Linked DNA regions of Diceros bicornis minor. The protein of the gene in region 1 interacts with the protein of each later gene in a pairwise test. Links are inferred from orthologs where the notes say so. Each region holds a gene or a part of one and is shown in the gene's direction. Other genes may lie near its edges.

The links.
Region 2: the proteins of SETDB1 (region 1) and TSC22D1 interact in a two-hybrid assay, tested with the Homo sapiens proteins (2 studies listed by BioGRID and IntAct). The link is inferred for Diceros bicornis minor from reciprocal best matches to the Homo sapiens genes SETDB1 and TSC22D1.
Region 3: the proteins of SETDB1 (region 1) and MBD1 interact in binary tests that used the Homo sapiens proteins (3 or more experiments, as listed by UniProt). The link is inferred for Diceros bicornis minor from reciprocal best matches to the Homo sapiens genes SETDB1 and MBD1.

Annotation. Positions count from the first base shown.
Region 1 is NC_080743.1:55,270,214-55,280,481, forward strand, and holds the start of SETDB1 (histone-lysine N-methyltransferase SETDB1), read left to right. Parts: upstream 1-5,712; 5' UTR 5,713-5,876; intron 5,877-6,759; 5' UTR 6,760-6,771; coding exon 6,772-7,031; intron 7,032-7,707; coding exon 7,708-7,859; intron 7,860-10,268. UniProt on the Homo sapiens protein: Histone methyltransferase that specifically trimethylates 'Lys-9' of histone H3. H3 'Lys-9' trimethylation represents a specific tag for epigenetic transcriptional repression by recruiting HP1 (CBX1, CBX3 and/or CBX5) proteins to methylated histones.
Region 2 is NC_080748.1:32,052,555-32,063,118, forward strand, and holds the start of TSC22D1 (TSC22 domain family protein 1), read left to right. Parts: upstream 1-5,591; 5' UTR 5,592-5,689; coding exon 5,690-5,922; intron 5,923-5,973; exon of another isoform or gene 5,974-6,150; intron 6,151-6,357; exon of another isoform or gene 6,358-6,458; coding exon 6,459-9,416; intron 9,417-10,564. UniProt on the Homo sapiens protein: Transcriptional repressor. Acts on the C-type natriuretic peptide (CNP) promoter. Acts to promote CASP3-mediated apoptosis.
Region 3 is NC_080755.1:42,770,413-42,781,490, reverse strand, and holds the start of MBD1 (methyl-CpG-binding domain protein 1), read left to right. Parts: upstream 1-7,019; 5' UTR 7,020-7,185; intron 7,186-8,628; 5' UTR 8,629-8,653; coding exon 8,654-8,763; intron 8,764-11,078. Other genes in the region: CXXC1 (CXXC-type zinc finger protein 1), read left to right, coding at 457-459, 1,300-1,418, 1,519-1,619, 1,930-2,165, 2,257-2,433, 2,844-2,870, 2,948-3,193, 3,360-3,467 and 7 more. UniProt on the Homo sapiens protein: Transcriptional repressor that binds CpG islands in promoters where the DNA is methylated at position 5 of cytosine within CpG dinucleotides. Binding is abolished by the presence of 7-mG that is produced by DNA damage by methylmethanesulfonate (MMS).

The DNA of each region.
Region 1 (10,268 bases):
AATATTTTTGAACAAACTATCCATTTTCACGTTTCAAAATTTAAAAGGTACAAAATAGTGAACTGAGAAAACCCTTTCTCCCACTCTTGTCCCCCATCCTTCTATTTGCCCTCCTCAGAGATAACCGGTGTTAATTTCCTATAGATCCTTCCAGTGATATTTTATGTATATGTAAGAAAAACTGTATATTTTTGCCATTATTTACACAAATAATAGCATGCTATATGCCATGTTCTGTACCTACTTTTCTCATTTAATAATATATCTTAAAGATCACTCCATATCAATGCACAAAGAGCTTCGTTAGCCTTCTTTTTTTAGAACATAGCATTTTATTTTTTACTTTTTTTAATGGAATATAGTTGACATACAATATTATATTATTTTCAGGTGTACAACATAGTGATTTGACATTTATATACATTACAAAGTGATCACTACAATACGTCTAGTAACCATCTGTTGCCATACAAAGTTATTACAATATTACTGACTGTATTCCCTATGCTGTACATGACATCCCCATGACATTTATTTTATATCTGGAAGGTTGTACCTCTTAATCCTCTCACCTATTTTGCCCATCTCCCACCCTCCTTCCCTTTGGTGACCACCAGTTTGTTCTTTGTATCTGTGAGCTTGTTTCAGTTTTGTTTGTTCATTTGTTTTGTTTTTTAGATTCCACATATAAATGAAATCATATGGTATTTGTCTTTGTCTGACTTATTTCACTTAACATAATACCCTCTAGGTCCATCCATGCAATTGCAAATGGCAAGATTTCATTCTTTTTTGTGGCTGAGTAATATTACGTTATATGTACTACATCTTTTTTATCCATTCATCTGTCAATGGACGCTTAGGTTGCTTCTATATCTTGGCTACTGTAAGTAATGTAAGTAATCTTGGCTACTGTAAGTAATGCTGCAGTGAACATAGGAGTTCATATATCTTTTCAAATTAGTGTTTTTGTTTTCTTCTGATAAATACCCAGAAGTGGAATTGCTGGATCATATGGTAGTTCAATTTTTAATTTTTTGAGGAACTTTCATACTGTTTTCCATAGTGGCTGCACCAATTTACAATCCCACCAACGGCGCATGAGGGTTTCCCTTTCTCCACATCCTCGCCAACACATGTTATTTGTTGTTGGCCTTTTTTTAAAACACAGCTGAAGAGTATTCCATTTTGTGGGTGTGCCATAATTTGTTTAACCAACCCCTGCTGATAGAAATTTACATTGTTTCTAAATATTTTGGGGGCTGGCCCTGTGGCTTAGTGGTTAAGTGCGCGTGCTCTGCTACTGGTGGCCCGGTTCGGTCCCGGGCGCACACCGATGCACCGCTTCTCCAGCCATGCTGAGACGGTGTCCCACATATAGCAACTAGAAGGATGTGCAACTATGACATACAACTATCTGCTGGGGCTTTGGGGAAAAAAAGGAGGAGGATTGGCAATAGATGTTAGCTCAGGGCTGATCTTTCTCACAAAAAAAATAAAATAAAATAAAAATTGTAAAAAAAAAAAAAAAATAAATAAATATTTTGTTCTTTCAAACAATGTTGCAGAAGATAATTTAGCAGTCTTACATCATTTCAAAGATATGTATACTTAAAGGTATGCAATTTCAGAAGTAGGTAGTTTAATTCCTAGAAGTTGAATTGCTGATTTAAAGAGTATTGCAGAATTTACAAAATTTTTGAATTAGTTGTCAACATTCAAAACTCAGAAGCTTTCATATAAAAAAATATGGATTTTTAACTTCATTTGAAAAATTGGAAATTTGGCAACATTGTATCTATTAGACAGGATAAAAATTAACTGGAGCTAAGTAGCAACTGCTCTCTATAGGAAAGACATGTATTTCCTAGGTGACCCACCCCATTTTGCTCATTTACATTACTTTCCTGATGCCTGAAACTCTTTGAGTTTTAATCTCTTTAATCTTCTTTAGATTCTGAGATCACTCAACAACCTTTAGGTTATGATTTAATTTCCCTTAAGTCTGACTGTATGGGAAGTATCATTTGGCACTCCAAAATTTTGGCTCCTGTGCTATGATTTCTTATAGACAAGTATTAAGTAGCATGTGGTTGTAATTTTTCAATGTATCACAACAGATTACAGGAATGAATGTGCTAAGCACACCAACATGAGGATTCCAATGGGTCTATTGGTTATCTATTACTTTATATTATTAAACTTCGATAAACTGTCTACCACAATAATTGTAAATTTTAATAACGTGAGTCGTTTATATCAGGGCCTGGTCATCTCTGACAAGAGTTAGTCTTCAGACCTTAGCAAAAACAAAGCCAGAGGTTGGCTCCCTAAATATTGAGGCCCTGCCCTAAGAAGGGTTATACAGCTCAAATCTGCCTTTCCTACAGTGCTTCTGAAATTTTAGTGAGCAAATTACCTGAAGGTCTTATTAAAATTCAGATGCTTTTTTTTTTTAAACTGTATTTTCTTTATTTTTTTCCCCCCAAAGCCCCAGTAGATAGTTGTATGTCATAGCTGCACATCCTTCTAGTTGCTGTATGTGGGACGAGGCCCCAGCACGGCCGGAGAAGCGGTGCATCGGTGCGTGCCCGGGATCCGGGCCCGGGCCGCCAGCAGTGGAGCGCGCGCACTTAACTGCCAAGCCACAGGGCCGGCCCAAAATTCAGATTCTGATTCAGTACATCCTGAGTGGGGCCAGAGATTTAGAATCTCTAACAAGTTCCCTGATTGCACGTTGCGTAGCAAGACCTTAAAAGACACTTCCTGAGTCCCACTGCTAATTTCTGTTGGACTGACCGCTTCAGCCTTCTCAGGACAATGAAGAAATCAGACTGGAATATGATGCCCCAAATAGCCCCTGTTCTCTTCAACATTCCCCATTCCTCATTTCCACCCCCACCCTACCCTCACACACATCAGAAAGCTGAGAATCCAACTAACAGAAACATAACCAGGGCAGAGCAAATCTTTCCCTTCCTTCATCACATATTATAGAGCACCACATGTACAGAGCAATATGTTAGGTGCTAGGGGAAACAAAGATGATTAAGACAGGACCTCAGCCTTGAGTTGATCACAAACAAGCAGAGGAGACAGAGATATACAGAGATACCTCACAAGTGGAAAGGAACGAAGGTAATAGAAGCATAGAGGCAGGATTTAATTCCACAGGGAGTGAGGGAGGGTGTAGGACAGTGATTCTTAAGCTGTGGTCCCAGTACCAGTAGCATGGGCATCACTTGGGAAAATGTTAGACATGCAAATTCTCAGACTTCCCCCAGACCTACTCCAGGGGTGGTGTGGGGGCAGCAATCTGTTTAATAATCCCCCCAGGTGATTCTGATACATGCTAAAGTTTGACAATCGCTGGTCCACAAAAACTTCACAGAGAAGACATTTGAGTTGGACCTTAGAGAATTAATATTTCATCAGACAGAAAGGGAAAGGGCATTCCAGGAGATAGATCACAATGAACACAGGTATGGAGATGTAAAAGTGAAATGTATAAATATGTTGGGGAAATAGCACATAATCAGGAGTGTGAAAGGAGGAATGGAAAATATAGCCAGAGAGGTAAGCTGGGGCCAAATTATGAAGAGCCTCAAATTTTATACCATGAAGTTTGAACTTTATAGACATAAAGAAAACACAGTTTTAAAGCAGGAGAGTGACATGACCAGAACTGTATTTTAGACCTACAGATAGGATTGATTTACAATAAGGCTCCCAATCAGGAGGCTATTTTGTGCTGGCAAGAAATAAGAGCTAAACAAAGGCAGTAGAACAGAAAAAGAAAGGAGGGAAAATATGTAATAAACATTTTCAAACTAGTATAAACATGTTGTACTGAATAACGGTTTAAGACCACAAGCTGTAGGGCCAAACTGCCTGGCTCTGACACTTTTTAGCTCTGTGTGGCTTTGGAAAATTTAATTCTGTGCCTCAGTTTTCTCATCCATAAGAAAGAGAAACTAATAATAGTTCCTACCTCATAGGATTATCATGAGGAGTAAATAAATTAATAACATAAAGTGCTTAGAACAGTGCCTGGTATGTAGTAAACACTCAATAAATATTGTGTGTGTTTTATAGGGAGTATTACGTATAAGACTTCTAGCTCAGGCTAGAAGATAATACCACGATGAGATGAGTTTGGAACATGCCGAATTTCAAATATCTAGAGGAGCCCTTCATTTCTCTGTACCTCAATTCCTGATGTCTTAACAATTGGACTTAGGTACTTAGGGTGGTCCCAGGAAACTGGTGGACAGGTGAAATGAGCACAGGTAAAAGTGTGGTCAACAGGAGCAGATTTCAAGGACTTGGATAATCCTTGCTGCTCGGGCCTTGTTTCTAGTCTTACATAGAAGGTTCCAGTTTATACTTTTTAGATGTAGTTAGGTGCAATTAGTGTAAATGTAGCTGAACAAATTAAAGCAATAATGAGATACTATGGTAGTCAATAGTGCTGGTTCATCAAATACACCTAGTTCTTCTTCCTCCCAGAGATGAGACATGACTGTTCTTCCCAGCCCCCTTGTGGTTGGGTAGGACTTTATGACTCATTCAGGCCAATGAATCGTAAATGAAAGTGTCCTGAGTCATTTAATTGCCAACTCAAGACCTTCTAGCATTCTCTCCCTCTAGCATGACTTACTCATCAACCTGGGTTCCTGAGTAGCTATCATGAGCAGAGCTCCACTGTCAACTTTCTAGGGATGATTATGCAGTGTGAGCAAGAAGTATGCGTTTTTTGTTTTAAGTTCTTGGAGTTGTTTGTTTCCACAACATAACCTAGTCTATCCTGATACAGATACTATTTTAACACATACCAAATTCTTAAAAATTAAATAGTTAACGTCCAATCCTAATGGGGGTGTGGGGAAACAGATACTTGCAGAGACTTGCTAGTGGAAGCAAAAATTGTTTCAACCTTTTTGAAAAGTAATTTGACAGCAGATTCTATTAAAATGAAAAAAGTACTTTTTTTCCTACTCAGATTTCATTTTGGGGAATCTCTTCTACAGAAATAAAAGTACTACTTCAAAACGATGTTAATGTTTATTGTTGCATCATTTGTAGTGGCTAAAAACTGAAAACAATCTAAATTTCTAAATATGGTTTAGCCATACTATGAAGTAGTATGCAACTGTCAAAAAGACAATTTTTTTCCTTTTTATTGACTTCAAGGGATGTCCACATGTTAAACGAAAACAAAACAAAAATCCATATGCATGACCTTGTACCTACAAGCCTAGAAAACTGAGCTGTTTTACCTCAAAGGAGCAGGGATGGTAAGTGGTGCAGAGAGGAGAGGATATTATCATGTTTTTCTTATTACATCTTAATATTCTTCCACTTGTTACAATTTGTACGACTTATGTAACAAACTCAAGTAAAAGTGAGAAAAAAAATCTAAACCTAAGAGTGTTTGCCCACTGAATCTTTACACAAACAGTATTTCTGCCACTGGTTAGGGGTAGCGGAAGAGGCAGAGCTTCTGTAATGTACTGCAGGCCACGCCTACTTTACCCTGCCAGTTGCTTCTCACGTGTGCCCTGGAAAGCTCTGCTTGGACGCATGCGCACTCGCCGAAGTTTGCCTAGCCTCTGAGGGGCACCCGGCGGCATTGGGTTTGACCCCGTCAGGCTACCGTCGTGGCGACCGGAAGAGCACCTGAGGTTTGCTTCCGGGCGTCTCTTTTGCTTCCCCTTCCCTCCCTCACGCTTTTCCCCCTCCCTCTGCTCCTTTTCCCTTCAGTTTCGTTCTTTCCCATCCAGGCCGACCCCTGAGTCGTGAGTCTGGGGTCTGGTTGGTGAAAAAGAACTGTTGTAGCTGGAAGCAGGGAGGTGTGGAAAATACTGTTAATTGAGGTATTTGGAGAACAAGGGCTTGTCTGGAATGTTTTGTTTGTGGGAGGAGGTCGGGCGAGGGTGGGAAGGAGGTCTTCCCCGAGAGGCGAGCGGGGGCGGGGTCGAGCTGGATTTGCGGGTGGGTGGGACGCACCCCTAAAATGGGTAGCACGGGGGTGGGGCAGTGTGTGGGCAAAGGAAAAATGGAGGCGGTGAGAACTGGCGCTGGGGTCGCACGGCGTTCTGGCATCGGTTTTGCTTTAACCATTTGAGCAAAAAAGCAGTTAACACCAACATGTGGGTTATTTAGATTGTAGATTTTAGGTAGCCGCATTTTATTTCCAGATTGTTTAATTTCCGTTAACTTTGAGGACACCTCTTTGCTGCAAGCTTTTGTGTGCTTAAGTATTAGAGACTTTTTAAAAAGTAAATTTCCACATGGAAGCAAAGTAGTGTAAGGGGAACAAGTAATTAAACAGAAAACGAATTAGTGAGTTATAGACCAACCTCTCCCCTTCAGGTTGGGGATATTTGTTCAAATTAGGTATAGCATGCAAAGATTTATCTTATTAGTCAGTTAAGGAACACAGATCACAGAAATATCTTCCTCAGTAAATTGATTCTCTTCAGTTTCCTTTTATTTTCAGTAGCTCCCTGTTGCATAATATATGTTCTCCATGTACTCTCAAACTTTTAAATCTTATTCAGGCATATAGTCTATAGCATGAGATGAGAACTCTACAAAATCTCAGCATCAGATACTGGAGAATGGGGAGAGAGAACATAGAATCAAACCTAACTATATTTGAATAACAAGTAGCAGAGTAGGAATGAGTTTTATTAGGGGACTGAAATTATGGTTATAATGACTCCAAAGGTAATTTTAGTTTTCTGTTCCATGTAGAGGACAAACAGTATGACCTCCCTCCCCGGGTGCATTGGTTTGAATGCAGCAACAGCTGCAGTGGGGTCTGAAGAGATTGCAGAGCTGCAGAAAGCAGTGGTTGAGGAGCTAGGTATTTCTATGGAGGAACTTCGGCAGTTCATTGATGAAGAACTGGAAAAGATGGACTGTGTACAGCAGCGCAAGAAGCAACTAGCAGAGTTGGAGACATGGGTAATACAGAAAGAATCTGAGGTTGCACACGTTGACCAGCTCTTTGATGATGCATCCAGGTGAGGGCTACATAGGAAATAGAAGGAATTCTCTCCAGTGGCAGACGTTTTTAAAGTATAATTGTTCATGGTGTGCCAAACACTTTATACTTTACAAAGTATGGATGTGTAGAACCTTACTCTTCGTCAAAGGGTAGGGTCCAAAATCTGACCTCATGAATATAGAATATTCATCTATCAGAGGCTAATATATGATCAGCAGTAGAGGAGTCCAGGTCTTGAGTCCCTTCCCCTTCTTCCTCCTGCACTCTACTTCAGAACAATTGCTTTGTTTTCTTTGTAGAATCAAGGGGGACTGTAAAGAGTTGCTGTCTTAGGTAACTGTGGAGCATTAATAAGTTCCTAGAGACCTATATGTACTCCTAAACCCCTAGAAGATTTGTTTCTGGTGCCCTAGTTGTCACTTAGAACACATTTTCAAATAACGACAAGGTAAATAATGAGGTAAGATTGAAAGGACCTACTTTGGGCTTATTTTGGATTTTTGAGGAACTAGTCTGGAAACCACTATTTAAATATTTTTCTATGGGAAAAACATTTTAAATTCTAAACAGACACTTTGGAATATGGCCTGTTTAAATTGAGGTCACTGTGTAGTTAAATGTGTATAAATTCTAATGGCTCCTACACCTGCTTTTGCTGGCTTTGACCTTTTCTACATGTGTTCCACTATTAGGGCAGTGACTAATTGTGAGTCTTTGGTGAAGGACTTTTACTCAAAACTGGGACTACAATACCGGGACAGTAGCTCTGAGGATGAAGCTTCCCGGCCTACAGAAATAATTGAGATTCCTGATGAAGATGATGATGTCCTCAGTATTGATTCAGGTGAGAGATGAGGCTGTGGATAGGAAAATCTCAGGATTGAAATTGAAACACTGGAAGATGAGCAGATAGAAGATAGAAGAGAGGAGAAACCATTGTTACTAACTCCATATCCCAAACTGTTGGACTTGTCACAGAAAAAAATAGAACGTTGTTAGTATCATAGATGTCCCCTAAGTGCTACTTCCTGATGGAATTACCCTCCTTTCCCCATTCTATATAACCTCTATTCTGAAATCCTTTGCTTTTCTTTATAGGTGGCAGTAGCACCTATGTATGTGTATCTCAAAACAGTATATTGTTTGGTTTTGTCTATTTTTTAACAATTTGTTTAAGGTATAATTTACATACTGTAAAATTCACCCACTTTAAGTGTAGAGTTTTGTAGAATTTATACAGTAGTACAGTCTTCACCACGGTCCAGTTTTAGTACACTTACCTCACCCCAAAAAGTTCTCTTGTGCCTGTTTGCCATCAGTCTCCATTGTCACCCCTAGCAACCACTGATATGATTTCTTTCTCTAAAGTTTTGCCTTTTCTAGAAATTTCACATAAATAGAATCACAATATGTTGTCTTTTGTATCTGACTTCTGTCGCTTAACACAGTGTTTTTGAGGTTCATCCATTTTGTTGCATGTATCAGCAGGGTATTCCTTTTTTGCTGAATAATATTCCATTGTATGGCTATAACACGTGTTTTTATCTGTTCCTCAATTGATAAACATTTGGGTTATTTCCACTTTGGGGCTACTGTGAATAATACTGCTATGAACATTTGTGTATAAGTCTTTATGTGGATGTTATGTTTCATGTCTGTTGTATATTCCACCTAGGAGTGGAATTGCTAGGTCTTATGGTAAGTGTATGTTTGAGTTTTTAAGAAACTGCCATACTGATTTCACTCATCTATGGAAGATAAACACATGGACAAAGAGAGCAGATTAGTGGTTACCAGAGGGGAAGGGGGTTGGGGGGTGGGCGAAAGGGGTAGACGGGCACATATATATGGTTACGCATAAAAATTAGACTGTTGGTGGTGAGCACAATGCAGTCTATACAGAAACTGATAAATAGTAATGTACACCTGAAATTTCACAATGTTGTAAACCATTATGACCTCAATAAAATAATCTAAAAAGAAAAGAAACTGCCAAACCCTTTTCCAAAGTGGCTATACCATTTTACATTCCCACTGCCAAAGTATGGGGATTCCAGTTTCTCTACGTCCTTGTCAATGCTTGGCATTGTCAGTCTTTTATTTTAACTGTTCTATTAGCTGTTTAGTGGTATCACACTGTGATTGTAGTTTACATTTCCCTAAGGACATTGAGCATCTTTTCACATACTTATTTGCCGTTTATGTATGTTCTTTGAGGAAATATCTATTCAAATCTTTTGCCTTTTTTAAAAAATTGGGGGTTTTTTTGTCTTTTTATTATTGACTTGGAAGACTTATTATACTTTAGGTATAATTCATTTATCAGATATATTTTATAAACATTTTCTCCTAGATGTCTTTTCATTTTCTTAATGGTGTCTTTTGAAGAGTAAAAATTCTTGAGGTAAGGGTTGAGGGTGCTTTGTTTATGGCTGTCCAGTTCTTCCACCACCATTTGTTGAAAAGACTACCTTTTTAGATAATCAACTAGCCATATATTTGAGGGTCTATTTCTGGATTCTATTCTGTCGCATTGATCTAAAAGTCTATCTTTGTAATGGCACCACACTGTCTTAATTACTGTAGCTTTATGGTAAGTATTAAAAATCATTTAGTGAAAGTCCCTCAAATTTATTTGTATTTCATATACATGCCAAATAAATTTTAGGAACAGCTTGTCAGTTTCTAACAAAAAAAATTTTTTTTAACCTGCTAGGATTTTTAATAGTTAACTGTATTGAATCTAAAGATCTATTTGAGGAGTATTACCTTTTTAACAAATACTGAGTCTTCTAATGCGTGGACATGGTACATCTCTCCTAAGTATTTTATTCTTTTTAATGCTAATGTGAATGGGATTATTTTCTTTTTTTTTTTTTTGGTGAGGAAGATTAGCCCTGAGCTAACATCCGTTGTCAATCCTCCTCTTTTTACTGAGGAAGATTGGCCCTGGGCTTACATCTGTGCCCATCTTCCTCTACTTTATATGGCACGCTGCCACAGCATGGCTTAACAAGCGGTGCGTCGGTCCACGCCTGGGATCCGAACCTGCAAACCCCGGGCCACTGAAGTAGAGCCCGAAAACTTAACTGCTACACCACTGGGCTGGCCCTCTTAATTTCACTTTAGGAGTTTGTTGCTAGGATATAAAAAATGTAGTTGATTTTTGTGTTTTGATCTTGTAGCCTGTGACCTTATTAAGCTCATTTATTCTAGGAGCCTTTTGTGGATCCCTTAGGATTTTCTATGTATT
Region 2 (10,564 bases), on another chromosome or scaffold:
TGTAAACACCTTCCACATGTAAACAGTACCGTGGTCTTTAATGTTCTGTGGTAACAATATTAACAGGATTTTATCTTGTGCTCCTGACTCCAATTTAGCTTGCATGTCTCTAAGATTTTCTTTTCTTCTTTTTTTAAAGGTATTAAAATCTGAGAAGATTTTGGCCTTTAAGACTAATGATTTCCTGTTTTTCTTCTACAATGCAACTGTAAATGTCAATTTAAGTATAAGTTACTAAAAATTACTTTATCAATTTTCTTCTCCTAAAAGATAAGTCTGAGCAGAGGGAGATAATGAATGATTAAAGGAAAATTCCACACTACAGAATGATTTCAACAGCCTTTCCTTTTCCCTTGAGCTTTGAGACTTGAGATATACCTAAGTGTTTGTGAACCTAATCTTTAAATACAAAGAAATACTGGCTGCTATGATTTGTTTGTACTTCTTGACCTGGTTTTGGTTCAGGTATGGTGGAAGGACATAGGCCTTATTAGAATTATGATACAAACAAATATGATAAATGCGTTTATTTCTGTAACTTTAAGTCTCTAAAAAAATGTACAAATACAAATTGGTCCTTAGAACATGCTGGAAAAACTAGGTTATTATAGTCTCTATTCTAGAGGCTCTCGTGTTCAATAAATGCTAATTGCTAAAATGGGAAAACATTTATCTTGTCCTATATAGACAGTGTTCCTCAATTATGTGTGATTAATGCCTTTTTTCGAGCATTTGACATCTGTTTTTGATCAGTGAAGGATCATTCAACTTATCAAATTGTTGTTCTGTTCATTTATGTCCAATTCCTGTGGCCACAGTAGAGTCTCTAAAATGTACACTCTTTCTTAGAATGTCTCTGCATCAAGAGAAAATGATGCTCCTAGATTCTTTGGAGATGTCTAATTAGAAAAATTAAAACATGAGTATTCTGTAGAAATGTAACTTGGGAGCTAGACTTGACAGGAGCCTGACTGAACACTATGTCTTGGAGGCAGCTGTGAATGGGTGGTTACACCGCAGGGATCAGTATCTTAGCCCCACCACTTGCCAAGTTGGAAGACCTCAACCTCTCTGCATCTCACTTTCCTCATTTGTAAAATGGGGTAATTATAGTTCCTACTTTATACAGTTGGGAGGAGTAAGTGAGATAAAACACTGAGAGCATTTAGAACAATGTGTCATATAGGGTAGACATTAAATAAACATTAGCTATCATCCAGGGAGATTTGGAGGGTTATTTGATTATAGACTTAAAAAAAAAATCTAAATTAACAAATTATTTTTTTTCACTGTTACTTCACACTTCTGTAGCAGAAGTTAGAAATGATTTTTTTTTAAGTTGTGGGAAAATTCTCCAAATTAACACATTCATAAGTCAGAAAAGACTGACTGTAGAAGAAGCTGTAACATTTACATTGGTTCAAACAGGGAAAAAGTCTTTTATCCTCTTCATGTAAAAGAAATGCTGTATGCAATTAGCGTGTGTGCAGCACATCTTCCTTGACATTTAAAAGCATTAAAGGAACACTCATTAATTTCCAAGAGAGTTTTGAAAAATACTAGTCTCCAGAGTTCAGACTGGTTTTTCAGAAAAATCCCTCAACACAGAAGCATGGAATCTGAAATTAAGAGGACCTGAGTATCCATATTTAGGCATAAACCTTGGACAAGTTATTTAACATCTCTGTGATCTCTTACTCCTAAAATAAGGCCTCCTCCCTCAAAGTAAAATTAAATGAGTATCAGTATGCCCTCTAAACCATAAATTCAAATTTCTGTATTTTTTTTGTTTTATAAGCTTATCTCCTTTGAGGATATAAAATTGTTTAGCTGGCGAGAAAAATACTTATATTGAAAATTTAACAAATGCTGCAAAAATTAATCAGTTATAAGCTAAACTATTCTCACTGAAATCTGAATGAAAAGTTTCAAAATAAGCTTTTTGTGCTACTTACAAAAGTCAAATGGCACATACTACTTTTCGTTTCATTTAAACAATTTTCTAGAGAGCAAATTGATTTATAAACTTGCTGCAACGCCTCTGTGCATAAGTTTCTTCATATGTAAAAATGTCTGATGTTTTACAAGTTTATAACTCATGCTTAAAAATATGACTTTTTTTTTTTCAGATGACATGTAAGGGTTACAGATAATATTGGCTGACTGAAGCACTGGTTAGCCAGAATAATTACTGGAGTGGAACAGTGGCATGTTTTCTGCACACATTTCTCTTTAACATCCATCTTTGCCACTCACAGCCATTCTATTTCACAGTTCTCACAAATAGGTAAATTGTGTTATAATGTTCAGCAAATTTTCTCTTTTATGGTAGAAAAAACACTAAACACAGCCAAACATACATGCTGGTTTGCAATGGTGCAATAACCAGATTTAAGTGAACACTGCACTACAGAGTAATCTTTTGTCAATGGACAGTAATTCAGAGCTACACCTTCAGAATGTAAACAGGTGAAATTCAGTCTTTCAAAAGGATAATTCGAAGTACTAGTCTCAAAGGATTTAATGACTTCATTACATGTAGGAGTATGTATTTAAAATTAATGTAAAAAAATCCAGACTTTTTTTATTAAAAGGTGGTAACATGATAACAACACCTGGCTGTTCCAAGTGCCTCTGCTTGTTTTAATGTACTTGTATTCACGTATTCCTGGTCACAGAATTGCTGGCAACTAGAAAAAAAGAGAGAGACACATTTTTCAAACTCAGGTTTCCATGATTGCAGAGTTGCTCTTATATCTTAGTGAGACTTGATGCAGCCTAAACAGGAATTTGAAAGTGATATGGCAGACAAAGATGAAATACATTTGAAAAGATCATATTTTCTTGTGTCTTATGTTATCCTGATAAAGTTTTTTTTAAAAACTTCCTTTAAAAAGAAATTATATACCCAATCCCTAACATCAAAACAGCCAAAAACAACAATACCCTTTACTATTGGTTATTACAACAAGTATCTGCTTTTATAGGGTCATCTCAACAACTCACTCTGTCAACTTTGGGTAAGACTTTATTATTTGTGTTTCTTCTGCTTCTAGTTACATCAGCACAATTATAGGGGGTATTTAAGTGGCCCAAGGGGTGTTGAGCTGTTGTTTGGGGTAATTTAAAACTTTGACCTAAGGCAACATTTTGAGAGATCAAGAGTGTTTTCTTTCACACTGCAGTCCAAAGAAATGTATTTTGCCCATCTACATTCCACTGCAGTTTCCACTGGTTAGGACAGTTTCTGTTTTCCATTCAAAACCTGTTGAAAAAGCATGTTAGATTTGCATTTCAACAATGAATGGCAGCCATTAACCAGGCATATCACTTGCAACAAAAATTGGAGTACTATGAAAGAAATTATTTTTGTTAAATACACAAATGGCCATAGCTATGTAAAATACAATCATTCATGTACTAATTAATGAATATCATAAAACAAGTACAATCTTTTAAATGTACTTGATTTTTATTACCATACCACTTTCAATATTTGTGAGCACCTACTTTTTACCTAGCACAGAGCTCCTCATTAGCAATTCAAAGCAAAAAAAGGCCGTCCTGCTTTTTTTGGGTTTATTGGAGGAGACCACAGAAGCAGCAACAATACATCATAGCTTTGATATATTGAGGATGTATTTCTATTCAATAATGTTGAGGGTGTATTTCTATTAATAATGTAAGAGATTGGTGATATTCTTAACTTTTTGAGGGATGGAATGAGGGAAAAAGTTTAGAGAAACCTAAAGGTAACATGTTGAATTGACAACTAGATGTCTACCAAAACTTAGACAGCTGTGCAAAAGACTACAGCCGTTTATGCTTTAACAAGCTCCTGAAATAGGATTGTAGATCCGTAAGTCTGTGAGATCCTGAATCAGAGGTCTAACCATAAACGTTTAGTCCCCCAACATCCTAAGTTAAAAAAATAAAAACTTCTCTCTGGGGTTTTCCATATTTGTTGCTATTTTTTAATTCCTGGGCGAGAGGTACATTCTCGCTTAGTAGTAAAAAGAACTTAGAGCTAGAATGTTTTGACGAGTAACGCCAGGGAAGCCACTTCCAGTAAATTGTCTCCAATCAAGCCTAACATTGCTTCCGTGGAACTATGCTCAGACCCACGCAGGTTTTCTTTTTTGTTGTTTATTTTTTAACTGGAATTGCAGATGGCTCTTTTTCCTTTCTAACCCTAAGAGATAGTCTTCATTTATCCTTGCAGTCGTGCTGCCACCCCGACTAGGCCACTTCGCCTTTTAAGTCAAACCTGCGGGGCTACAGCCTGGACAATCAGACGAAAAGCCATCCCTGCTGGAGAGAAGCACCACCTGTTGAGGTCAGTTTGTTTACTGGGTTGGGCTGCTTCTTCCCTCCAGGTAAGGATGGAAGGCAAGCACTCCCTCTCTAAAGAGAAGAGAAGCTCGGGTGGTTAACTGAAAAAGCTGCAACATCTACACGGTTGGCTCGCCCCTGCCCGTCGAAGGGCGAGGGGACCGCATGGCAGCCACTACTCCTTCGCACAAAAGGCAGCACCTATCCTGAAGACCACCGGCCTTCCGCGGACCCCGCAGCTCCCTGCGCTGGGGCATCCTCGGAAGCGGCGAGGGCGTCGCGGGCTGAGGGCGAGCCCAGGTGCGGCGAGGGGGAGGACTCCGCCACGCGCCGAGGAAGAAAGCCTGACTCATGTCGTGGCGGTGGCGGTGGCGGCGGCGGCGGGCTCCTGGGAACTGAAACTCGTGATGCTGTTGCTGCGGAGAAAAGCCTTATTACCAATTCCACAGGCGGGGTGGACACCATCCAGGGCGCGTACACCCGAGACCCGGGGCTCCAGCAGCCTCCCCGGGCCCCTCCCGGCCGCGTGCCCGCGCGCGCCGGCGCGTGTGAGAAAAGAGCGGACACACCTAGCCTGCGCGCGCGCCCCGCACCCTCCCCCACCCCCACTCGGGCCGACTCGCACAGGCCGACCCGGATTCGCTCCCCCGGCCGAAATTCCCCATCCCCACCACCCCAGGCGTCGGCGCCTCCGCCAGCCCTCGGCAATTTCCGTTAGGAGACCCAGCGCTCGGCAAGTCCCGAAGACCCGCCGCCTCCTTCTCCGCCAGACCCGGCTTTATGTCTGCGGCGCTGGGGCGCATGCGCAGACGCCATCTTCCTTCCTTCTCCTTTGCTTGCCCCTCCCCCCGCCACCGCCTCCGCCTCCTCTCGCCGGCGGTCGCCCCTCCTCCTCCTGCGCTCGGGCGCTGGTCCCTCCTCTCTCGCGGCCGCGAGAGACTGGGGGATACGGCGGCGCCGGAGAAGAGCACTAGTAACAACCACCACAGCCCCCTCCCCGCCCGCCGCCCTCCCTCGGCACCCACCCACTCACCCGCCCCGTTTGCCGACACCGACCAACCCCACCTCTCGTTCCTTTGAACGGCGTCGGCTGCAGGCGTTGCACCAGCCCGTCTGGCCACCAACGCCGCCGAGAAAGGAGCCGCCGCCGCCTGCGGCCCCCTCCCGCCCGGGCCGCGGGAGCAGCGGGGTGAGGACGAGCCGGCTGCGGAGGAAGAGGACCAGAGCGGCTCGCACCCCTCCGCGCTAGCGCACGTCCCGCCGCCCTCCGCGGAGGCTTGGGCGCCGGCCCCTTCCTCCCCGAGGACGTGTGCCGAGCCGAGGCGCCTGCCCTGAGGGAGGAAAATGCTCAGGCTCCATGGCTGCCAGTGATGGAGCGGTCCCTGGGCTCCCGCTGCCACCGTCGCCGCCGCGCCCCGGCCGTGCTCCGCGAGGACCCGGCGTCTCTGCGCGCCCGCCCGCGCCTCGTTGCTGGGTTCACCGTACCGGGCGCCCCGCCGCCGCCCCGCTCCGAGCCTCGCCGCCCCGGCCCCAGCCGCGGCCAGCGTTTCCTCTCGGAGCAGCCGCCGCGAGCCCAGGGGGTTTGAAAGGGTCCGCGGGGCGTGGGGGGAGGGCCGAGCGGGGACAGCGGGGCCGGGAGGGGAGGTTTGAGCGACACTGAGCTCGGGGCTCGCTGGCGGCGGCGGCGCCGGGGGGTGGCGAGGGGAAGGCGACACTCGCTCCGCGCTGCCTTCGTGCAGAGCGGCCGGGAGGGTTTTGCAGCGGCCGCCGCCGCGCCGGGAGAAGTGGTTGAGGTGGCTTCTGAGTTGTCTGGAGAAGGTGGGCATTTCTCAGTTTTCCCACCCCCTGCCCGGGTCTCCCCCTTCCCTTCTCTCCCCCCTCCCTCCTGCCCCGCACCCCACGTGAAGCGGAATATAAAGGGGGGTGTGAGACTAGAGGGGAAAGTGAATGGCGAAGGACTGAAGGGGTCCCCCCTTCGGGTCCCCGGCCGCCCTGTTCACCCTCGTTCATCCTCCCTTCCCGAAGCTCGCCCTCGAAGGCAGCAGCGACCAGCGCCTTCGGCTGAGGAGGAGGAGGAGGAGGAGGAATCGCGCCGGGCCGAGCGTCAAGTCCCATTTTCCTCCTAGGCGTCTTGAATACAAAGATTACGGTGCAGAAGGAAATTGCACTCGCCTCCTCCGCCCCCCGGTACCCGACACAATGCACCAGCCGCCTGAGTCCACCGCCGCCGCGGCCGCTGCAGACATTAGTGCTAGGAAGATGGCGCACCCGGCAATGTTCCCTAGAAGGGGCAGCGGTAGTGGCAGCGCCTCTGCTCTCAGTGCAGCAGGTACCGGCGTTGGTAGTAGTGCCACATCTTCCGAGGATTTTCCGCCTCCATCGCTGCTCCAGCCGCCACCTCTTGCAGCATCTTCTACGTCGGGACCACAGCCTCCGCCTCCACAAAGCCTGAACCTCCTTTCGCAGGCTCAGCTGCAGGCACAGCCTCTTGCGCCAGGCGGAACTCAAATGAAAAAGAAAAGTGGCTTCCAGATAACTAGCGTTACCCCAGCTCAGATCTCCGCCAGCATCAGCTCTAACAACAGTATAGCAGAGGACACTGAGAGCTATGATGATCTGGATGAATCGCACACGGAAGATCTGTCTTCTTCCGAGATCCTTGATGTGTCACTTTCCAGGGCTACTGACTTAGGGGAGCCTGAACGCAGCTCCTCAGAAGAGACTCTAAATAACTTCCAGGAAGCTGAGACACCTGGGGCAGTCTCTCCCAACCAGCCCCACCTTCCTCAGCCTCATTTGCCTCACCTTCCACAACAGAATGTTGTGATCAATGGGAATGCTCATCCACACCACCTCCATCACCACCATCACATTCATCATGGGCACCACCTCCACCATGGGCACCACCATCCATCGCATACTGGTGTGGCCAGTACATCCGTTCCTGGAGGGCCACCCTCAAGCCCAGTATCCAGAAAACTCTCTACAACTGGAAGCTCTGACAGTGTTATACCAGGTGCCCCAACTTCTGCTGTATCATCGGGTGGCTCACCTGCATCTGTAATGACTAATATCCGAGCTCTGAGTACTACCGGCAGTATAGGTATAAATTCTGTTACTGGCACTAATACGATGAATAATGTAAACATTAGTGCTGTGGGTACTTTTAATCCTAATGTGACAAGCAGCATGCTTGGTAATGCTAACATAAATGCAAGCAATATTCCTAGTGCTGCTAGTGTGAGTGTTGGGCCTGGAGTTAGCAGCGGTGTTAATGTGAATATCTTGAGTGGCATGGGCAATGGTACTGTTTCTTCCTCTGCTGTTATTAACAGTGTCCCTAATGCAGCTGCAGGGATGACTGTGGGATCAGTTTCAAGTCAGCAGCAACAACCAACCGTTAACACGTCAAGGTTCAGAGTTGTGAAGTTAGATTCTAGTTCTGAACCCTTTAAAAAAGGTAGATGGACTTGCACTGAGTTCTATGAAAAAGAAAATGCTTTACCTGCTACAGAAGGTGTGATAAATAAAGTGGTGGAAACTGTAAAACAGAACCCAATAGAAGTGACTTCTGAGAGGGAGAGCACTAGTGGGAGTTCAGTGAGCAGTAGTGTCAGCACACTGAGTCACTACACAGAGAGTGTGGGAAGTGGAGAGATGGGAGCCCCTACTGTGGTGCAGCAGCAGCAGCAGCAGCAGCAACCAGCTCTTCAAGGTGTGGCCCTTCAACAGATGGATTTCAGTAGCACTGGTCCACAGAGTATTCCAGCAGTTAGTATACCACAGAGTATTTCTCAGTCCCAGATGGCACAAGTACAATTACCGTCTCAAGAATTGAGCTATCAGCAAAAGCAAGGTCTTCAACCAGTACCTCTGCAAGCCACTATCAGTGCTGCAACTGGTATCCAGCCATCATCTGTTAATGTGGTTGGTGTAACTTCAGCTTTAGGTCAGCAGCCTTCCATTTCCAGTTTGGCTCAACCCCAACTGCCATATTCTCAGACAACTCCTCCACTGCAAGCTCCCCTTCCAGGGGCACCACCCCAACAGTTACAGTATGGACAACAGCAGCTGACTGTTTCTCCACAGATGGCCTCAGGCCATGGTAAATCAGTGACTCAGAATCCTACTTCAGAGTATGTACAGCAGCAGCCGATTCTTCAAACAGCAGTGTCCTCCGGGCAGCCCAGTTCTGCAGGAGTGGGAGCAGGAACAACGGTAATTCCTATGGCTCAGCCACAGAGTATCCAGCTGCCAGTGCAGCCCGCCGCAGTCCAAGCACAACCTGCAGGGGCATCTGGCCAGCCTGTTGGCCAGGCTCAAACAGCAGTATCTGCTGTACCTACTGGCAGTCAAATTGCAAATATTGGTCAACAGGCAAACATACCTACTGCAGTGCAGCAACCCTGTACCCAAGTCACACCTTCAGTTATTCAGCAAGGTGCTCCTCCATCTAAACAAATAGTTCCACCTGCTCAAACTGCGAGTATTCATCAGGGAGTTCCAACTAGTGCTTCAAGCCTTCCTCAACAGTTGGTCATTGCACCCCAGAGTACCTTGTTAACTGTGACTCCCCAGCCACAAGGAGTAGAATCAGTAGCTCAAGGAGTTGTTCCTCAGCAGTTGCCTGCAGTTAGTCCTTTGCCCTCTGCTAGCAGTATTTCTGTTACAAATCAGGTTAGTTCAACTGGTCCTTCTGGAATGCCTTCTGCCCCAACAAACTTGGTTCCATCACAGAATATAGCACAAACCCCTGCCACTCAAAATGGTAGTTTGGTTCAAAGTGTTAGTCAACCTCCCTTGATAGCATCTAATATAAATTTGCCTTTGGCACAACAGATACCACTAAGTTCTACTCAGTTCTCTGCACAATCATTAGCTCAGGCAATTGGAAGCCAAATTGAAGATGCCAGGCGCCCAGCGGAACCCTCCTTAGTTGGCTTACCTCAGACTATCAGTGGTGAAAGTGGGGGAATGTCAGCAGTTTCAGATGGGAGTAGCAGCAGCCTAGCAGCCTCTGCTTCTCTTTTCCCGTTGAAGGTGCTACCGCTGACGACACCCCTGGTGGATGGCGAGGATGAGAGGTAAGATCATGCTATGTTTCTGCAGACATTCAACAGATTCAAAGTAAATCTATTTAGTACCTATGTATATATATGCACAAAATTAGTGTAAAGCATATATTCATTTTTGTATGTGAAAGTGCGTTTTCATGGTAAGTTTTCTAGAGCAAGAGTGTTATTGAATGGTTTCAGAGTGGATAGGAAATGGTATAAGTAATATGTAAATAATATTTGACAGAGTAGTGAGCATTAAGAACAGGTTTGGGGGCACCAAGTGATTTTTGTTATTTATAAAATGCTTTTTAGTAAGATTAATTACGAACAGAAACTTAACTTTTGCTAAGTCATATAGTTAATCTATTCTTTTGAATTACTAAAAGTCTATGATCATCTCTTGGTGGGGGTTGTGGTTACCGTATTTGTTTCTCCTTTACTAGACTGGACAGTCCTTTTCAGTTCTCCTGTGTTGATCTTAGTCTGTGAAAGATACTGTTACCTGCCTCTCCTAGTCAGACATGATAGGAAAGATGACCTAATCTGGGTTACATAGGTTGCCCTCATACTGTAATTGACCAACTTTTGTGTATTTAATGGTCATTTTATCTGAACACTAAGGGAATGGTAATCTTAAAAAGCATTTTGTAGGAAAGAAGGGCATGCACTGTCAAAATAACCAGATTTATCTTTAATAGTAGTATGCTGTACATTTTTCCTTTTGCACAGTTAATCAGGGTGGTAGCCATTTTAAAGAGTAAAGAAAGAAAATCTTGAGGGGTTATATTTATAGAGGTGTGAAAATAAGACTTTGTTCTCTTGCTAATCTACTCTACCTGTTCCCTTCTTCCTTTACCAAAAAAATACATAAAGCCTAAAATACATTACTAAACCATTGTTTTCTTAATTGGATTGGAAATAATGTGCTAATCACACTTATTGAATCAAATTGTTTCTTTGAAGCCGACTGGCTAGAAAAGTTGTGAACTCTCTCATGATTCTACATTGCTTTAAACTAAGTTGATTTTTAAAGGAATGTTCTTTTCACAAATTTGCCAGTCTGACTAACCTTGATCAAAATAATATCATAGGAGTTATGACAAAGGCTATTCATTTTCACTGTAGAAATTTGAATAAGGTCAAAAGATATTTAATTATTTTAGTATTAGTTGGAG
Region 3 (11,078 bases), on another chromosome or scaffold:
TGACCGTACAGACTAGGCCATTTTACGGAACCAGATTCCAAGATGGCGGCGTCCTCGTAGAATTCGCGTTGGCGCGGCCATATTGCCTGTAACGTCCGGGCCGTAAAGCAGTCACCGTACGGACTCTACCGACAAGGTGGCGGCGCCCTTGGGAAAGCAGCGTTATAGGCGCGGCCATGTTTCCTGCGAATGTATGGACTCGGATGCCATACAGTATCAGTAGTCAAGATGGCGGCGCCTGAGGGACAGGCGGGGCTCTAGGAGGGGGACCTACTTGTTTGTCGTTGAAGCCGACGCACCGGGCCTGCGCAATAGGAGTACGGTGCCCGGGAGGCGCGACCAGAGGCGGAAGTAGCTGTGGGCGCCTTTGCAACGGCTGCGGACGCTGCCCAGTAGTCTGTGTGGGTTCGCGGGTCGCTGGCGGGGGTCGCGAGGCGGTGCCCCGGGAGCTGAGAGATGGTGAGTACGGGTCCGGGGAGGGGGTCGGCAGTAGAGGTCAGTCGGGTTGGTAATGGTGGGGTCCGTCGGCAGACTCACGGGGGTCTGTGGGGAACCGTAACAGGAGTCTGTGGGCAGAATGGTGCGGCCTGTGGTGAGCCTCAGCAGGGGTCTGTGGGTAGTATGATGGGGGACTGATGGCCTGATTTTTTTTCTGCTGTGTGAGTTTTGTGGGAGTCTGGGAGTTCTGTGATGAGCCATGTGGGGATCCGGAATGGAAGTTTAGTGGGGATCCCTGATTGTAGTTCCGGGGGGCCCCAGATGGGGCTTCTTTAGGCAAAGTGATAAGGGGTTTGCGACGAGCCGTATTGGGCACTCAGTAGTGAGCCATGATGAGTGTATTAGGGGATCCGTAGGGAACCGGGATGGGGGCAGGGTTGTCAGTGGGGTTAATAACGGGAGATCTGTGGAGAGCTGTGTTGGGAAGTGAGTAAATCACGTTGGTGTCTGACAACCTGTGGTGGGGTCTGTGAGGAGCCATTTTGGGGGCAATATGTGGTGAGTGGTAGAGTGTAATGAGCCCTTATGAGTGTGTGGATAGAGTGATGGGGTGTTAGCCGGCTAAGTAATGGGAGATCTGGGGCAGAGTGATGGCGTTTATTAGCAGAGTAACGGGGTGTCAGGGGTGAGTGGTGGGGGAGGTCTGTGGAGACCGTGATGGAGAGGTTTGTGAGGAGCTATGATAGGAGGTCTGTTGGCAGAGTGTTGGGGTCTGTGGTGCGCCATGGCGGAGCTGTAATGGAGGAATGAGACACTATGATGGGCGTTCTCTAAGGAGCCATAATGGGGGACTTCCCACAGGAGGGGGATGGTTCAGACCCAGAGCCTCCAGATGCTGGGGAGGACAGCAAGTCGGAGAATGGGGAGAATGCGCCCATCTACTGCATCTGCCGCAAACCGGACATCAACTGCTTCATGATGTGAGCCGGGGAGAGGTGGGCGGGGCTGACACCTGTCAAGGTTGGGCAAGGCCATAGGTCCGGCCCCTCATATCTCCACCACTCGCCCCATCCTCTGCAGCGGGTGTGACAACTGCAATGAGTGGTTCCATGGGGACTGCATCCGGATCACTGAGAAGATGGCCAAGGCCATCCGCGAGTGGTACTGTCGGGAGTGCCGAGGTGAGGGGGGTGGAAAGGACAGGGCAGGCAAGTGGGACTTCCAGGGAGAAGGAGGAGCCATAATGGGAGGGTGGGTCGTGGGGAGTAGTGATATATGTTCTTGGGCAGAGTGAGTGTTGGTCTGTTGTGAGCTAAAGTGAAGGCTCCATTGTGAGCCATAATGGAGGGTCCCACCAGAGGGGGCAGTTCTGCCCTGGACTAGGGGGACAGAGCAGGTGGGTGGGACAGAAAAGGAGAGAAGAGGAAGAAGAGTTCTGGGACCATCGAAATCCTCCAATGTCACCCCCCGGCTCCCCGCTCTGCTCCATAGAGAAAGACCCCAAGCTGGAGATCCGCTATCGGCACAAGAAGTCACGCGAGCGGGACAGCAATGAGCGAGACGGCAGTGAGCCCCGGGATGAGGGTGGAGGGCGCAAGAGGCCTGCCCCGGATCCGGACCTGCAGCGCCGGGCGGGGTCAGGGACAGGGGTTGGGGCCATGCTTGCTCGGGGCTCTGCTTCGCCCCACAAATCATCTCCACAGCCCTTGGTGGCCACACCCAGCCAGGTGAGTGGCTGCAGTGGCTGGGATAGATAAGGTGATCCCACCTCAGGTCCTACTTGAGTTCCTGATTTCTGTTCTGGGTCCCTCCCCCCAGCATCACCAGCAGCAACAGCAAATCAAACGGTCAGCCCGCATGTGTGGTGAGTGCGAGGCCTGCCGGCGCACTGAGGACTGTGGCCACTGCGACTTCTGCCGGGACATGAAGAAATTTGGGGGCCCCAACAAGATCCGGCAGAAGTGCCGGCTGCGTCAGTGCCAGCTACGGGCCCGGGTGAGCCTGGGTGGAGTTGGGCAGGGTCAGGTGGGGTGGAGGGGGCCAGTGTGTCCAGGAAGAGCTAAAATGGGTGGGCCGGGTGGGGTGGGGCCTAATTGCATACAGACAGGTGGGAAGGAGCCTGGCCTGTCCAGATGAATGGGGCCTGACCAGGTGTGCTGGGCCAGCAGGGGAGCCCCCCAAACCCAGGTGGGCAAGATAGGGCCAGATGTTTCTAGGTGATCAGACATGTCAGGGCAGGGAGGGCAGGGCTGAGCATGTCCTGGTGATGAGGGGAGAAGGGGCAGGTGTGTCTGGGGAAGCAAGGCAGGGCTAGTTGGTGGGGCCAAGCACTTGTGGGAGGGGCTAGGGCAGGGCCACCCTCCATCTACCTGGGGCTGACCTGGGCCTTCCTCCTGCCGGCACAGGAATCGTACAAGTACTTCCCTTCTTCGGTGAGTCCAGCCTCCCAGAGCGGGGCAGGGCATGTGGGCAGGGCAGTCAGGGCCAGTCCTGAGATTCTGCCCTGCAGCTCTCGCCAGTGACACCCTCAGAGTCCCTGCCAAGGCCTCGTCGGCCACTGCCCACACAGCAGCAGCCACAGCCATCACAGAAACCAGGGCGCATCCGTGAGGATGAGGGGGCAGTGGCATCAGCAGCAGTCAAGGAGCCACCTGAGGCTACGGCCACGCCTGAGCCACTCTCAGATGAAGACCTACCACTGGACCCTGACCTATACCAGGACTTCTGTGCAGGGGCCTTTGATGACCATGGCCTGGTGAGCAGGCAGGGTCCCGTGGTGGAAGGGTAGAGGTTACAGAAGTAGAGAGTATCCATAATGAGAAGAGAGAAGGCAGAGGATGTGGAAGGCTGATTTGGGAACTAAATAGTTGGTGGGGTAGTCATGGGTGGTACAGATGGGCCAGTGTCTGCCTCACCTGCAGCCCTGGATGAGCGACACAGAGGAGTCCCCATTCCTGGATCCCGCACTGCGGAAGAGGGCAGTGAAAGTGAAGCATGTGAAGCGTCGGGAGAAGAAGTCTGAGAAGAAGGTGATGGAGAGGGTGAAATGGGTGTGGGAAGGCAGAGGGTAGGGTGGGGAGGGAGAGGCAAAGGCTAGGGGCCGCATGGGGCAAGAGCCAGGAAGGGGTGGAATGCAGGGGGAGATGGGTCTGGGGCAGACTTCAACTCCACCCTGACCTGAACTGCCTTGTCCCATAGAAAGAGGAGAGATACAAGCGGCATCGGCAAAAGCAGAAGCACAAGGACAAATGGAAACACCCGGAGCGTGCTGATGCCAAGGACCCTGCATCGCTACCGCAGTGCCTGGGGCCTGGCTGTGTGCGCCCTGCCCAGCCTGGCTCCAAGTATTGTTCAGACGACTGTGGCATGAAGCTGGCAGCCAAGTGAGTCATTCCTGGGGGGTTCAAGGGACACAGGGAGTACGGGGTAGGGCATGACCAGAGCCTTCTGTATGTCTGCCAGTCACCTGTCCCATTTAGTCAACTAGGCACCCACTTATCCATTCACTCACTCATCCATCTATCTGTTCACCCTTCCATCCACCATTCAGCTCATCCATCTACCACTCAGTCAGCTATCTACTTATCCTTTCACCATTTAGTCACCTATCCATTCTGCCATCCTTGGGTTATCCCACTTACTCATCTTGTTGTTTGCCACCTGCCCACACCCAACCCACTGCCTCCCTGCAGCCGCATCTACGAGATCCTCCCCCAGCGCATCCAGCAGTGGCAGCAGAGCCCCTGCATTGCTGAGGAGCACGGCAAGAAGCTGCTTGAACGTATTCGCCGTGAGCAGCAGAGTGCCCGAACCCGCCTTCAGGAAATGGAGCGCCGATTCCATGAGCTTGAGGCCATCATTCTGCGTGCCAAGCAGCAGGCTGTGCGCGAGGACGAGGAGGTAAGCAAGCACAGGCACAGCAGTGCAGGGCCCAGCACCTGGTCCTGCCCATCCTCATTGTTCCTTCTACCCCATGCAGAGCAATGAGGGTGACAGTGATGACACGGACCTGCAGATCTTTTGCGTCTCCTGTGGGCATCCCATCAACCCACGTGTTGCCTTGCGCCACATGGAGCGCTGCTATGCCAAGGTCAGGTGTTAGCCTGAGGGGTAGGGGACCCTCAGTGGGCCCATGGGCGGTCAGATGTGTCTTCTGGGTCTTGTCTTGGGAGGGCATGCAGCACACATCCACAGTTCCCTCCACTTGTGCTCATCCCTCCAGTATGAGAGCCAGACGTCCTTTGGGTCCATGTACCCCACACGCATTGAGGGGTGAGTGTGGGCGCCACGTGGAATTAGAGGAGGGAGGTTAAGGCTGGGTTCAGGAGTGGAATGGTGGGGCAGGATATGGGCATGGGCAAGGATAGGTGGGCCCCCCTCCTCTGTTTCCATTACCCTCTCTCAACTCTAAACCGCCAGGGCCACACGACTCTTCTGTGATGTCTACAATCCTCAGAGCAAGACATACTGTAAGCGGCTCCAGGTGCTATGCCCTGAGCACTCACGGGACCCCAAAGTAAGGTTTCCCCCCAGCTTCCCCATTCTGTCCCTCCTCCCTTCCTATTGCCCCTTATTTAGCCCTTCCTTCCTCTCCTCCTTTCTTGCTTTTTTCTACCCGCCCACTTCCATAACCCCCACTTTCCCTGCCTCATCACCCTCATTCCTCCTCATCTTCCTGTGTCATCACCTTCTAGTTCTCCTGTTTTCCCTGCCCCTTCATCCTCTAGTCCTCTCCCTTTCCATTCCTTTCCACTCTCCCCTGAACTCATTCCTTCCCTCCTTCCTCCCTGACTACTCCCAATCCTGTTCTCCTTCCTGCCTGACCACCCCACATTCATCCCCATCCCCTGGTCTCCTTGCAGGTGCCAGCCGACGAGGTATGTGGGTGCCCCCTTGTACGTGATGTCTTTGAGCTCACAGGTGACTTCTGCCGCCTGCCCAAGCGCCAGTGCAACCGCCATTACTGTTGGGAAAAGTTGCGGCGTGCTGAAGTGGACCTGGAGCGCGTGCGTGTGGTAGGTTTTGATGCTGGATGTGGCCAGGGTCCAGCTGGGCTTCTGGAGCCCCTTCTCATGTCGCCTTCTGCTCCCCTGGCAGTGGTACAAGCTGGACGAGCTGTTTGAGCAGGAGCGCAATGTACGCACAGCCATGACAAACCGGGCAGGACTGCTGGCCCTGATGCTGCACCAAACGATCCAGCATGACCCGCTCACTACAGACTTGCGCTCCAGTGCCGACCGCTGAGCCCTACTGGCCCAGAGGTCCTCACACCCTGCATTCCAGGCGGGGGAGCTGCCCTGAATCCCCCATTTGACTGTTCTGCCATTCTTCTGTTTCTCCAGTCATCCCTGAGTTTCTCCCTGTGCCTGTCCACCATTTGCCCCTCTGCCCTTAACAGAGGGTCTCAGAATTTTCTCCTGTTTTTGTCTGTTCTCTGTCTCTCCATTCTTTGTGCCTGGGTGGGACTGTGGAGTCTGCTCACCTTTGCCTTCCCCCTCTCTTGGTTTTGTTAATAAAATTTTGAAGAATCAAGAAAGATAACTACTGATGGTCTCCACACTTTATTCAGTTACAAAATCTCTGGGGTAGATGGGGCGTGGCATACCTGTACTCAGGAGGGGCTGCAGTGTACAGCTGGCACCCACTCTGCTCTGCAGACCCCCCCGCCCCCTGTGGGCTGTGGGGATATGACCTGCTGAGGGAGAGCCCAGTGACCTACATTCTCAGCGTCTCATTTTGAGACAGTGGGTATACAGTCAGCATTCATTCAATGTCTAGCCGATTTGCCACTCCTGTGTGAGCGTTAATATTCTCCAGACCAGAGGTGTATTCAATGATGGACACAAAGCCTCCTCTTTCTCCACAAACCCCTCTTTTTGGAGATGCATACAGCAGGAGCCCACCGAGTTTGTGCCGGGAACCCCACCCCGCCCTCTCTTGTTGTCGGGTCCACTCGGCCCCACAGCGCGGCCTTTCCCGGATGGACCTGGCCTTCTGTTTACCTGCAGCGCGGCATCGCCCCCTTCCCGGTTCCTGCGGCAGGAGCGGGCGCCGGCGCGCGGCGTGACTTGTCTCCGCGCTCCTGCAACTGTTCAGCGAGGAGGAGAGCGCAGGGCACAATAGGCCTGGGGGAGATGTTCGGAGGGACCGGAGAGCACAGGCTCGACCTAGGCGTGAGGTGGGAGAAGGCGGCTCCGCACAACCCCGGGCTTCGCCGCCCCTCCCTCCCGGTTACTCCTTGCGGAGACCGCCAAGGAGTAACCAGGCGCGCTCGACCAACCCCAACCCTCCACGCCCCCTTAGGTTGGGACTGGAGAGCGCAGGCGCAAACGAGGAGGGCGGGGTGGGAAGAACGCGCCGGTTGGCGAAGCGAAGAGCGCAGGCGCTACAGGTCTCCGCTAGGGGCGCGAGCAGTAGTCGGACGTCAGCGAGCAAGCGCAGCAGGTCCCCGGCAAGGGACGCGCGCCGCTGCGGGACTCAGCACGCAGGCGCAGGGTCCTCCCTAGTAAGGGCTGGTGCCGGCACGGTATTAGCGCGCAGGCGTCCCGCCGGGGGCGGAGCCCAAGAAGCGGGCAGTGTATTTCCGGTTCCGGGAGCAACGAACGGCCGCGGCGGCGACAGCTACCGCTTGAGGAAGAGGCTGCGGAGGAGGAAGAGGAGCAGGGCAAGGCGGGAGTCACAGGCGGGACCGTTGTCATGGGTCCGCGGACCTAGAGCGGCGGGAGCTACCGGCCCGGTGCCGAACTGGTGAGACAGTCGTGGGGGTGGAAGTGGAGAGCGCTGAGGTGGAGGATGGGGAAGAATTGAGGCTCAGAACGCTGACGGAGAGGAATGAAGGGCCCTCAGGCCCATGAGTGGGAGGAATGGCGGCGTCGGAATATTGAAGGGGAGGAATGGGGAGATTTAGGCGGAGGGCGGGGAGGAATGGCGCTCGGAACACTGACAGTTGGTAGTGTCGGGATCCTAGACGAGGACGGAGAGCAATGGAGGAGGATTCGAACGCTGAGGGGAGACATCGGGGCCTTTCAGGTTAAGGAGAGACAAGTGAGGGTTCGGGACGCTGAGGGGGAGAATTGAGGGGCCCTCAGGTCAGTGAAGGGGAGAAAAGGGGGCGTTGCGATGCTGAAAGGGAGGAAGGAGGGACCCATATGGAAGACGAGGAGAAATAGGGAGTGAGAACGCTGACAGTTAGGGATGGCATGATCCTGACGCAGGAACAGAGAAGAATGGAGGCTTCGGAATGCTGAGGGAGAAGCCAGGGTCTCTCAGGCAGAGGAGAGGAAGGGAGGAGGAGAACGCTGAAGGGAAGGAGTGAGGGAACTTTTCAGCTGCAGAGGAGAGGAATAGGGAGGTTTGGGGGCTGAGACTGGGGAGTAGTTGTGGTTCAGAACACTGACAGAGAGGGGAAATAAGGAAGGGGAGGCTTTTAGGCTGAGGAACAGAAGGAATGAAGGCCTGTTCAGGTCAAGGATATGGAGGAGTTGGGGGCTCTCTGGCAGAGGACATGGAGGAGACTGGGGCAGTGACACTGAGGTAGCAGGATAAGAGGACATCAGATAGGGAAGAAATGGGAGGGTTAAAAGACGTAAAGAGAGCAGCTGGGGACTCCTGGGTCAAGGAAGGGAGTGAATAGGAGGTCAGAACACTGAGGTAGAGTACTAGGACCTCAGTCTGAGGACGAGCGGAATGGGGGCCTCTTGAGCTGAGGATGGGACGAATGAGGCCTCTCAGGCTGAGGATGGCGAGTATGGAGGTTTCGGGGTGACAGACGGGAGGAATAGCAACCAGTGGGTCACAGACAGAAGACAGAGAGATTGTCTCCTGGGCCTAGGACAGGGAGAAATGAGGGGGAAGGATGAAAGGTTCCTAGGTTGGCAGTGGGGAGAAACGATGGGCTCTCAGGCTGAGGATGGGGAGGAATAGGGGATACTGAGGAATCAGGATACTGAGGAATGAGGACCCTTGAATTGAGAATGGGGCTACCAAGTCAGGAAGGGGGAGGAGTGACAACCTCCTGGACCCAGGACAGGGAAGAACGGGGGTTTTCTCTTCCTTATATTGGCCAGTTGCCTGTGGCAGGTCCTAGGTCTTGGGCAAGCATTAATAGATACTAGTGGTTTGTGTGGTCTTGGTCACAACAGGTCCCCTCCTAGAGCCTTGGTTTCTCCCATTGCCTCCTCCACGTTGCAGGGTGCTGCTGCTTCCCGTGGCCCCAATGGCTGAAGACTGGCTGGACTGCCCAGCCCTGGGCCCCGGCTGGAAGCGCCGTGAGGTCTTTCGCAAGTCAGGTGCCACCTGTGGACGCTCAGACACCTATTACCAGAGGTACTGGGTGGGTTGTGGACAGAGTCGGGGTAGGGCTGAGCCTGGTTAGGCAGGGTGAAATCAAGGGGTGTGGTTAAATTTATGGGTGGGGTTAAAATTAGGTATATACAGTCAATCTTCATTATTTGCAGATTCCGTATTTGCAAATTCGTCTACTCCCTAAAATTTGTTTGTACCCCAAAGTCAATACTCACTGTGCTTTCATGGTCATTCGTGGATGTGCACAGAGCAGCAAAAAAATCTAAGTCACCTGATGCATGCATTCCTAGCTGCCGTTGAACGAGGGCCTTCTCATTTCAGCTCTTATGCTGTAAACAAGTGTTCTTTTCACAGTCTGCTTAATACCATGTTTTTCTCATTTTTGTACTTTTTGTTGGTGATTTTGCTGTTTGTGATGGCCCCCAAGCATAGTTCTGAAGTGCTATCTAGTGTTCTAAGTGCAAAAAGTTCATGATGTGCCATAAGGAGAAAAATATGTGTTAAATGAGCTTCGTTCAGGTGTGAGTTGCAGTGGTGTTGGCTGGGAGTTCAATGTTAATGAATCAGAAACACTGTATATCTAGAAAGAAAAGAGGAAATATGCCTATTTGTACATGAAGCTGCTCCAGAAAGTGCTAAAGTAACATCTATAGTATGTGATGAAGCCAAGGAAAAGGTAAAAAGTGGCTAGATTTGTGGATCTGTGAGATGTCCAGTGAAATAAAGTGTAATGGACAGTGTTGTGAGGCTGAAAGCCAAGGACAGTGACAGTCGTGTTACCCAGGGTTAGGAAAATGTTAAACCTATCTGAGCTAGTGCTGGCTGGTTCACACATTTCAAAAGGTGATAGATACATCATGAAAAATGTTAAATTTGTGTGCAAGGCAGGTTCTGCAGATCAAGTTTCCAGAAGAATTTTAAAAAATACCTGCTAAGTGTTATTCGGGAAAAGAGTTATGTTGAAGAGTAGGTTTTCAATGCTGATAAGACTGGCTTGTTTTACCAAGTGTCAGTGCAGATAATCAATGATCATTCTATAGTAAAGTAAAGACGAGAGCTTTATTCGTGACAAAACTGAGGATTATAGCCCGGGAGTCACAACCTTCAAAAGTGAAGAAAGTGCCCTGGAGAAGAGCGGTTTTTGGCACAGTTATATACCATTTCAAAACAAAGATACATACATCAAGCATGACGGACACATTCCTTCAAGGGTTCAAGGAGCACATACACAGCAGATCAACATGACTCTGGTGTCATGGGAAGGGAGACTCATCTTCAGAGAATACTGACATCATAAGAAGGGAGGCATTTATTCATTATCTTCAAAGAGTACATTCCTTAGGGTAATAATTAAAACAGATGTGCAATGTGCCTTTGACAGGCTGTAAGTGGGGCTTCTCTGGTTCAAATAAAATTCAGGCCAGATCAAGTTTAAACCAGAATGGCTTCCCCATATACTTCAATATATAAAATTTCTTATGTCAAAGGACGTTGGCAAAGGAACCTATGTAACACAGATGGCCTCCAAAGCTCCTGGCTTTAAGTCATTCAGAGGCCATGCAGTTCATTATTTGTAAGATGGGTATATTAAATAGGGTGTCTTTAAACAGAAACACATAAAACAAGGTTACATATTGATCACTTGACAAAAGTGTTGTGACCAGAGGCTTGCAGGAACCTAACTTGTAGTTCCACTAGGAGCAGTTGTTTTGTATTTACTAATGTAGTGTTCAAGGTGACTTTATAGAACGTAACTACCATGAATAATGAGAATCGACTATAAATATGTAAACGTACATGTTTATCAACAGTTTATGCTTAAGGATTTAAGGTGTTTAAGGATACATTAGTGATGTACTTATTAAGTTTTTTACACTCTTCCTGAACTGTTTTTATATCTAAGTTGCTGTTTTCCTGAAGGAATATAGTAAAATTATAAATACAATTACATTTGTTTATATTTAGTTGTAAATTTATTTTCATATTTGCAACTTGGATAAAACTTTCAAAGTTTATAAATATAAGTGTAATTATCAACAACTGTAAAAGATCAGAGATTTTACCCTAATTAGGGCAAAGTAACAGGTGGGTATGTCACAGTTTTGTGGATGCTGGTAGGAGATATGAGACTCCTAGGTCAGAGATGAAAGACAGTTTACTACTCACAGCAATAGCAGTATCCAGAATATCAGTTTTGTGCCAGTTCCCCTAACACCAGTTCCCAGAGGGTAACATGAAGAGGGCTAACTACCACCTGCACATACACTGGATTGTGTTGTAGGAAAGGAACCCTGAGTTTAAGGAATCTAATTTTTTATAATGTTAGGACGGTAAGG